Linked DNA regions of Daphnia pulex. The protein of the gene in region 2 purifies or fractionates together with the protein of the main gene of each other region. This does not show direct contact. Links are inferred from orthologs where the notes say so. Each region holds a gene or a part of one and is shown on either strand. Other genes may lie near its edges.

What was found.
Region 1: the proteins of nuclear pore complex protein Nup50-like (region 2) and importin subunit beta-1-like purify together in Homo sapiens (affinity purification with mass spectrometry; 4 studies listed by BioGRID and IntAct, counting the BioPlex papers as one, with this or other methods). This does not show direct contact. The link is inferred for Daphnia pulex from reciprocal best matches to the Homo sapiens genes NUP50 and KPNB1.

What each region holds. Positions count from the first base shown.
Region 1 is NC_060020.1:1,462,354-1,466,514, forward strand, and holds the start of importin subunit beta-1-like, read right to left. Parts: upstream 2,878-4,161; 5' UTR 2,688-2,877; coding exon 2,630-2,687; intron 2,521-2,629; coding exon 2,462-2,520; intron 2,321-2,461; coding exon 1,937-2,320; intron 1,873-1,936; coding exon 1,720-1,872; intron 1,658-1,719; coding exon 1,508-1,657; intron 1,441-1,507; coding exon 1,099-1,440; intron 1,034-1,098; coding exon 701-1,033; intron 638-700; coding exon 419-637; intron 361-418; coding exon 1-360.
Region 2 is NC_060026.1:3,791,350-3,795,332, forward strand, and holds nuclear pore complex protein Nup50-like, read left to right. Parts: upstream 1-1,389; 5' UTR 1,390-1,452; intron 1,453-1,518; 5' UTR 1,519-1,528; coding exon 1,529-1,687; intron 1,688-1,869; coding exon 1,870-2,582; intron 2,583-2,644; coding exon of another isoform or gene 2,645-2,651; coding exon 2,652-2,786; intron 2,787-2,849; coding exon 2,850-3,168; 3' UTR 3,169-3,357; downstream 3,358-3,983. UniProt on the Homo sapiens protein: Component of the nuclear pore complex that has a direct role in nuclear protein import. Actively displaces NLSs from importin-alpha, and facilitates disassembly of the importin-alpha:beta-cargo complex and importin recycling.

The sequences.
Region 1 (4,161 bases), on a different chromosome or scaffold from region 2:
AATGTCGCCAACCAGTCCGACGGACGCCTGGCAGATGGTAGTCTCGGCGTGGTTTCTCAATCCCATGATAAGGTAGGGACGGAAGGCTTCCATGTACTTGATGAATCCTTCGCCAAGGACTTCCGTCAATGTTGCCACTGCCATCAACGCATCTTCCTGAACACCACCAGCACGATTTGGCCCAGCGCTCGAATTGAACATCTGCAGCAAGGCCGCCATGATCGGGTCAGAGATCTTGGGAGCATCTTCTGGGGTGACTTTACGAAGCACGCTCTGTAATGTGGCGCAGAGCAGCGACTGAAGATCGTTGTATTGGACTCTATCCGAATGCGACGACACGTGGGATTCCATGTTAAGAACCTAAAAAAATTTATCCGTTTTACAATGCCAAAACATGCTTTAGAGTAAGTGATAATACCTGTTGCAATCTCTCCAAGATGACCATTGTGGTCTTCTGTACAGTAATATAGCAATCTTTGGGCGAGTTCTTGACCATTTCCATCAAAGCTTCATAGGCAGCAGCACGGAGGTTAGCTTGAGCAGCATCAGGCCGATCAGTCGTTTCCAATAGCTTTTGAACGATGGGCTCAAAATATTCAGACAGGCAGTACGAATCTGGTTCATTTCCATCGGTAGCCTATTCAACTCAAGAACATAAATTTAGGTTTATTTGAACGTAGTTACAAATTTTCAGTGTTACCTGTGAAGCAGTTTCATAGGCAGCTTCAGCCAGGCTCGAGAAAGCCCAGCAAACATTAGAAGCGACACGAGGCTCAGCAGTCAGTCCAGTAACGAGAGCCTGAAGCAGTGGCTGAAGATTGGGGGGAGCCACAGCTGCATCGGGGATGATTTCACAAACTCGTCCAATCGTCCAGGCTGCAGTGTCACGTACATTAACGCTTGTATCATGCATCAATTTGAAAAGGAAAGGCATAGCTTGTTCAACAATAGGTTTTAACTGAACAGCATCAGGTCCTTCAAGGATAGAACCAAAAGCCATTACGGCGGCGTCACGGAAACGCCAGTCTGGATTCTAAAGTTGTTGAAAAACGAAAATGTTATTGTACCAAAAATGTGATTTCAAGAACTGTATCCAACCTCAATGTTCTCCTTGACGAAAGGAAGGACGTGAGGAACGATGACATCTTCACAGCAGTTGGCTAACAACATGAGACACACACCGGCAGCCTTACAGGGATTCCAATCGTCTTCATCATCATACTCTTCTTGTTTAGTCAACGTTTGCATCAACACAGGAACTAGATATTGAAGAGCTCCCTTTGCGTAGAATTTAGACGTATGTTCAGGCGGACGGCCCATTTCAGCAGCTTCGCTGGCCTCGATAGCCAAATCCACCTCTTCGTCACAAACGTTCGACCAGAACTCAATACCTTGCAGTGCGATTTCATCAATCTCCGACCTCATCGCTTCCAGTGTAATCTATTCATAATAATGAGTAAAAACTTTAAAATTTGTATAAATTTTTTTGTCAGTTTGATTAACTCACCGCAAAAAGTGCTGGCCCCATGTAGTGCTCCATGTATTGGTAATATAGGGACATAATTTTGACCAGACATTGAAGTGCTGCAACCCGTACTTTTGTGTCGGGAGATTGCGTTGCTTCACACACAACTTGCATGATGAAGTGCCGTTCACTCTACACAATTAGAAAGCGATCAGTAATAACAAACGTAGGTATTCAAATAGTAAAATACATACTTCTTTGTCGAAGTTAGCTTTAGTGAACTCCAATGAATTCAATAGCGCAGTTGTGGCAGCCAATCTGACGTGATTGCTTGGTTCCTCACGTTTCATGCCATGTACGATAGCAGTGAGAATCTCGTTCGACTGAGTAGCTAGTACTTCAGCATCCTGCATTTTTAAAACATATTTTATAATTTTCTCATCCAAATTATGTAATACTTGAATCACTCACAATATCCTGGCAAATATATCCAATCGTTTCCAGAGTGGCTTCCCGAACCATTTCTGTGCTGTTAGCTGCAGTGACATTGGCAACAAGTACAGATATCAATTCTGGCCACTGACTGACTGGTAGTTCAGCAACTGCCATGTACGCAACACATTGAGCAGCAGAGCTAGGGCGGATGGTCTCTGTACCCAAAGCAGCTAAAATGTTCTTTTTTACATAGGTCCTTAGATCGTGTGGGAATGACAACCATCTCTGCTGGTATTCCAGCTTGACATCGGTATCTTTTGAAGTCAAGCAATTTTTCAACTGCAGACCAGCTGCCATGCGGGCAACAGGGCTATTTGCTCCATGGGCAAGAATGTCAGACAAGGCTCTGATGAACTCAACCTATGTGAGAAGTACAAGTTTAGCAAAGTAGAGACTTAGTTTGAATTTTAAATTTATCTAGCCAAACCACATTTGATACAAGTTTTGCTTAGCAACACAAAAATGGGAGAAAAGTTGGTTGAAACAAAGAAAGTTGCTTACCAGATTGCCTCTTGCTGCCTGTTCAAGATAATTTTGGGCTGCTTCCAATTCATTCTTCTCTGTTAGACAAAACGTGAATGACAGTTACTAAAACCATTCAGTGTTCGGGAAAAATCAATGGCGTTGTAACCATGCCGTTGTAGAAAAAAGTAAATTTAAGTAACTAACCTGACGATACAGTTTTCTCCAAAATTTGAATTAGTTGAATATTTGGTTCGGGCACCATTTTCCCTCCTTTTATTAATAAATATCACAGATCTTTCAGTCGTAAAAAAAACTTCTAGGACTTGTTAATAGCTAGGCGTGAAAGAATCAGACGGTTAAGTTCGTCTCAACCGGCGAAGGGCGAACACATGTGGCGAAAAAAAAACCACCAGTTTTTCTCAAGGAAAAGCGACCTCTATTTGAAAAAGAATTACACGAATTTTTTATATTCAACTAATGACCAAAAATAAAATATATTAAAACGACGTACTGTGAAAAATAAAATTTTTCAATTATTTTAAATCTAATCATGAATCTTTTTGTTAAAGAATGTAGTATTTCAATCGGATCTATGTAGTCCATGCGTAGGGTTAAGTTAACTTCCGCTCTCATAAAATGGCGGCAAAGTGATTACGAAAAAATGTGATTGTTTAACCAAGAGTATCCAAAAATTATGAAAACTCTCCGGGGAAAACTGCATTTGATTAATTGGAATTAAGGAAACGCCATTTTGCCACTACAGTTGAAATTTGATTTTCAACTTTAAAATAATCAACTTGCTATCCTTCGAAGTTAAGAAAAGCGTACTGCCCTACATAGTTTCTTAATTAGAGTCAAATTTCACTAAATTATAATTTTTGTAGGCTGCTATGATATTTATGAGTCCGTCAATCCCACAGGGAATTGGAAGCTTTTTCGGTTAGTAACTGTCAGAATAGATGGCGCCAATTTGAAATTTGAATCAATAGAGCAGATTTCTATATTTTAAAATATTGCTACTGCTTTAACTTTTACGAATAAATTGTTATAGTTCCTAAAATGAAGAATAATTCGTTGTTCCTTGTGAACCATGATTAAAATGCAACCTATTCTCAGCTGACGACGCCCGTTAATGCTGCAACACGTACTGACTTGAATTGTATCCAAGCATTTCGTCATAGATTCGACAGGATAGTCAAACTATTAAAATGTAAAAAAACTTACATCAAAATGAAAAGAAAAATTGTCCTACGTGCGAATAGAAAACATTTATTACAAGAATAATCCAAATTAAGTATCGTTGTTGAAGGACGACAGGTACCGCCACTATCGCGGAACCAGGTAGAAAGGCAAAAACGTAACCATACTGAACGCTCTCTGTTTGTCTGCAGAAAATCAGTAGTCAATAACTTTGATAACACAATCTGTCTGCTGTCTACGTGTTTAAACATGGCAACGAATAAATAAATTTTGTATTTTTACTTCCATAAAAATGAGCCATTTCGTCACTGACGTACTACTCGTGATTCTAGGATTGGTGGCTTCCGTTATTATTGTTTTGAGCATTGTTGGAATTGGTAAGTTGTTTACGCAATATTAATATGCATGGGCGAAGAACATCAACAACAGTTATCTTTATGTCTTTTTTTAAATTCATGATAAAAATTTTGTCCTTGATGCTTATTTTTAATCATATGCTTAAACCTAAAAAACATTCTAATCTATTGTGTTTCTAA
Region 2 (3,983 bases):
TTCTCGAAAGATGTTAATATAACCGAAATGGTGTTGGTTCAAACTTTTTTTTTTCCATCGGCGATCTAGTTGGGTTATCTCCTTGTATACATTTTGGCGCTATTCGTCTTCTAGCTCGTTGAGATTTCATCGTAACCTTTTTTTTTTCTTTTAGAGTATTTCAGTTGGGCCGTCCTCCAGCGTGTGCAGCCAATTGAAGATCATCATATTCCTCATGTATTTTGACAGTGGCCGGCATTGATCACGTTCGACGTCGTTGAGAGTGAGGGCGCTTTTGATCCATGTGGCATCCAGCGGAGATGAATTACCGCCAGATCCGGCTTTGGCACTCAACGACTCCTCACCGCTTCCGAAAGGCTGACACTGTGACTGCTCCGACTGCATCGTCAGATCCACCTGGCCACTGGCCGCCTCGGCAACGACGGCAATCTGATCGAGATTAAACTGGCTCTGCGACAGACGCTCCAGCGCCTTGTAAGCTGTCAGGAGCCGGGGAAGTTTTTGTATGTTATACATTATCACTGGGGCACTAGCACTACACAAGCGACACCAAATGGGATTTGTTGGCAACTTATCAACGATAAGTTATTATCTTTGTAAGGACCATTGTGAGTGACTGACACAGGCCGGTGCGATTTTTTATTTGAAAGTCGTTTGGATTTAATTGACTTGTATTGTGTAGTAGGGTGATACACACCCGGACATTTTTTTGCGGTAAACCAATTTTACGAAATTCAATTTTTGCTTGCGATTTCTTTCTTTCTTTTTGGGCTGTTGTTGTTTTCTTTTTGTATTTATTTTTTAAATTGCGTACTAGTTATGGATATTGACATAATTCAAGTACTCCCGTTATTTGAAGATTTTGCCCTTTCTATCTTTTCTCATGTAAAATCCAAATCCGTGCCTTTCAGTCAAATTTATGTTCTTATTTGATTCGAGTGCACTGTTCTTTGTGATTCTTGTTCGGCTCATGTTAGACTATGCGTTCCTCTAGAAGGTTTCTTCATTTATTACCATTCGACGACAAGTGCTGGAGATTACACCAAGGTGACGGTCTTGGGCGGCAACACCCGCACTCATATTGTCACTCATTTACTGCCCGAGACGCACTACGATCTGAAGATGCAGTCCTTCAACATGCAGGTACCCGTTCAGCAGCAAACTTTCGTTTACATTTCTATCCCACCCATGGAATGTCGTGAAGTATAATTTCTCTTCCACTTTGACTTTGCCGTGAGCTGGGTACGTCTGAATTCTTCTTAGGTAAATTATCGGCAATTTTTAGGCTATTCACTCATTGAATGGAATTTTATTTATATTCTCGAAAGATGGGTACGACCTCGAGTAAACGATGTTTAAAAAAAATGTCTGGCAACATTGTTGCCAGACAGTGTTGCCAGAATTTTTTTTCACTGGCTCGAATCGTGTGAAAATCGTGTGAAACCGGAAATTGTAATTTACTTTCAGTTTTAAATTGTAAGAGTAAGACTCCGTTCAGTTGACTTATTAACCCAACAGGTAACTTCAAATGGCTAAGCGTACGGCGACTCGAGAATTAAATCACGACAACTGGAATGACGAAGAAGAGGAGGAGGAGGCGGGAAGCTTCCAACAGGCTTCGGACGAGGCATTAAAGGGCCGTGTGATTAGACAAGCAAAAAGAAGGATTGCAGGCAATGATGGAGAGGTAATTTATTGTGCTAAGTAACAATCTAGTCAATTGGTTAACTAGTATTTAAGTGTGTCAGATGTTTTCCACATATTTCTCAGGTTTTTTTGTAACCAGGTTTGAATGAATGACAGAACTACAACCGTGTTCCCAATTCCAGAATATTTTTTTACAGCGTGTTTTATTTTATTCCCTTACAGGCGAAGAAGGGTTTTTCTGGGTTTGCTGGTTTTGGAGTTCGCACAGGTTCTGAACCCAGTAAAGCATTCTCCAACTTTGCTATCAAAGTACCAACTACTGTAGAAACAGGCAAGACAGAAAATGGAGAAAAGACACCAACTGATAATGGGGCTAATGAAAAAGAGTACCTTGCCAACCTAAAGTCTCTGAATGAGACTGTTACAACATGGATTACAGACCATGTAAAAAAGAACCCATGCTGTGTACTCACTCCCATCTTTCGAGATTATGAAAAGCATTTGAAAGATCTAGAATCCAAACGAGCTTCACCATCTTCAAAAGAAAACATGACTACTGAACCTGGCAAGATTGACAGTGAGAAGCTTGAAGACAAGAAATTCCAATTTGGTTCTGCATCAGCAGAAGCTCCAAAACCCTCTTTCAGTTTCTTCGGCAATGGGTCGACAGTTTCTACACCGGCCAAACCACCCTCAACATTTTCATTCGCTAGCTCAACGCCGACAACAGCACCATCGATTTCAACTTTTTCCTTTGGCGCCCCTGCTAAAAGTGATCAAGAATCAAAGACTCCGTTATCGACATTTTCGTTCAAGGCATCCAGCACTAGTTCAACCACTAGTCCACCTTCTACCGGCGGGTTGTTTGCCTTTTCCGGCACTAAACCTGCTGCTACTACTACTACCGCACCAGCCTTTTCGTTCGGGTTTTCTAGGTAGTAATCCAACAAATCAATTTTTCATTTTAATGTCTTTAATTCGTATTATTATCTTTGTGTTTCTAGTACTAAGCCGGCAACAGAAGTGAAAAAGGAAGAAGCGGAAGGTGGTAAAGACGGCGAGGAAGGAGAAGATGAAGACGTTCCACCTAAAGTGGAAGTTAAAGAAGTCAAAGAGGAAGACGCCTTCTATTCTATAAGGTACAAATTTTACTTTTATTGGCTTATTTTTTGTGTTTTAACGCTAACATTTTTCCCGCTCAGATGTAAACTGTTTTACAAAAAGGATGCCAATTACACGGAAAAAGGTGTTGGCACAATCCATCTAAAGAAAGTCAAGGACGATAAAACGCAACTGGTGATCCGTGCCGATACCTCGCTGGGCAACATTCTTCTAAACATCATTTTAAACCCACAAATAACGACCCAGCGAATCGGCAAGAATAATGTCATGCTGGTTTGCATTCCCAACCCGCCTATTGATCCAAAAACGCCGCCTGTCCCGACACCCATGCTCCTTCGTGTGAAGACGGACACTGAAGCCGATGAACTCTTGGCCAAATTGAACGAAGCAAAAAAATGATCGACTTGGGTCAGTCATGCATAATTTGAGTTCTTTTTGTTTCTTCCATTTTCTTGTGATCCCCCATTTCACTATTTTATTCATTCAATTATTTTTTTACGATCTGTACAATAACAATCCCCGTTTGAGACGACCGTGATTTCACCACAGGCAAATTTCAAATCAAATTCAATACAAGTAAGAACCTAATATGTAGTTTCTTTTCTTTTTATTGTACGGTTGATTCAAAAGAGTGTGGAGTATGCCGTCATCACGAATCACGATGGAATGTCGTATTTATTCCGGACTGACTGGATGGTAACATTCTTGGATGTGAGCCGTGAGCCGACCGAGATTTAATATGTGATCTGGTTTCAGCATTTAGAACTCGAAAGGAGATGACAGACGAGCTCTGCGGAATGGGAAACCATCACGTATTGAGTTATCATAATTTTTTCGTATCAATATTTTCCTGTCCAGTATGTCACTCATCGATCATTTCCAACTTTAGGAGGAAAAAATAGTCAAACCGACTACGCTACGGTTAAGCCCCTTTCACTTGGTATTTTTTTTATTTCTCAAGATTTTTTATGGCTTTACGTCATGGCGTATCAGCGTTCAACTACATGTCTTTATAATCGACTAGTCCCACGAGGGAGAAATAGTATCCAACTGTGTTTGATGTCGTGTTAAGTAAGTCAGTGATGAAGCCATCACGGTAGAATCGGGTTGTAACCGTAGAGGCTAGTAAGCAAACATTGTTATAATTGGTTGATGACTTCTGAATTAATTGCTGATTGTTTTTATTTTGCATTTCTTATAAGAAACAGTATTAT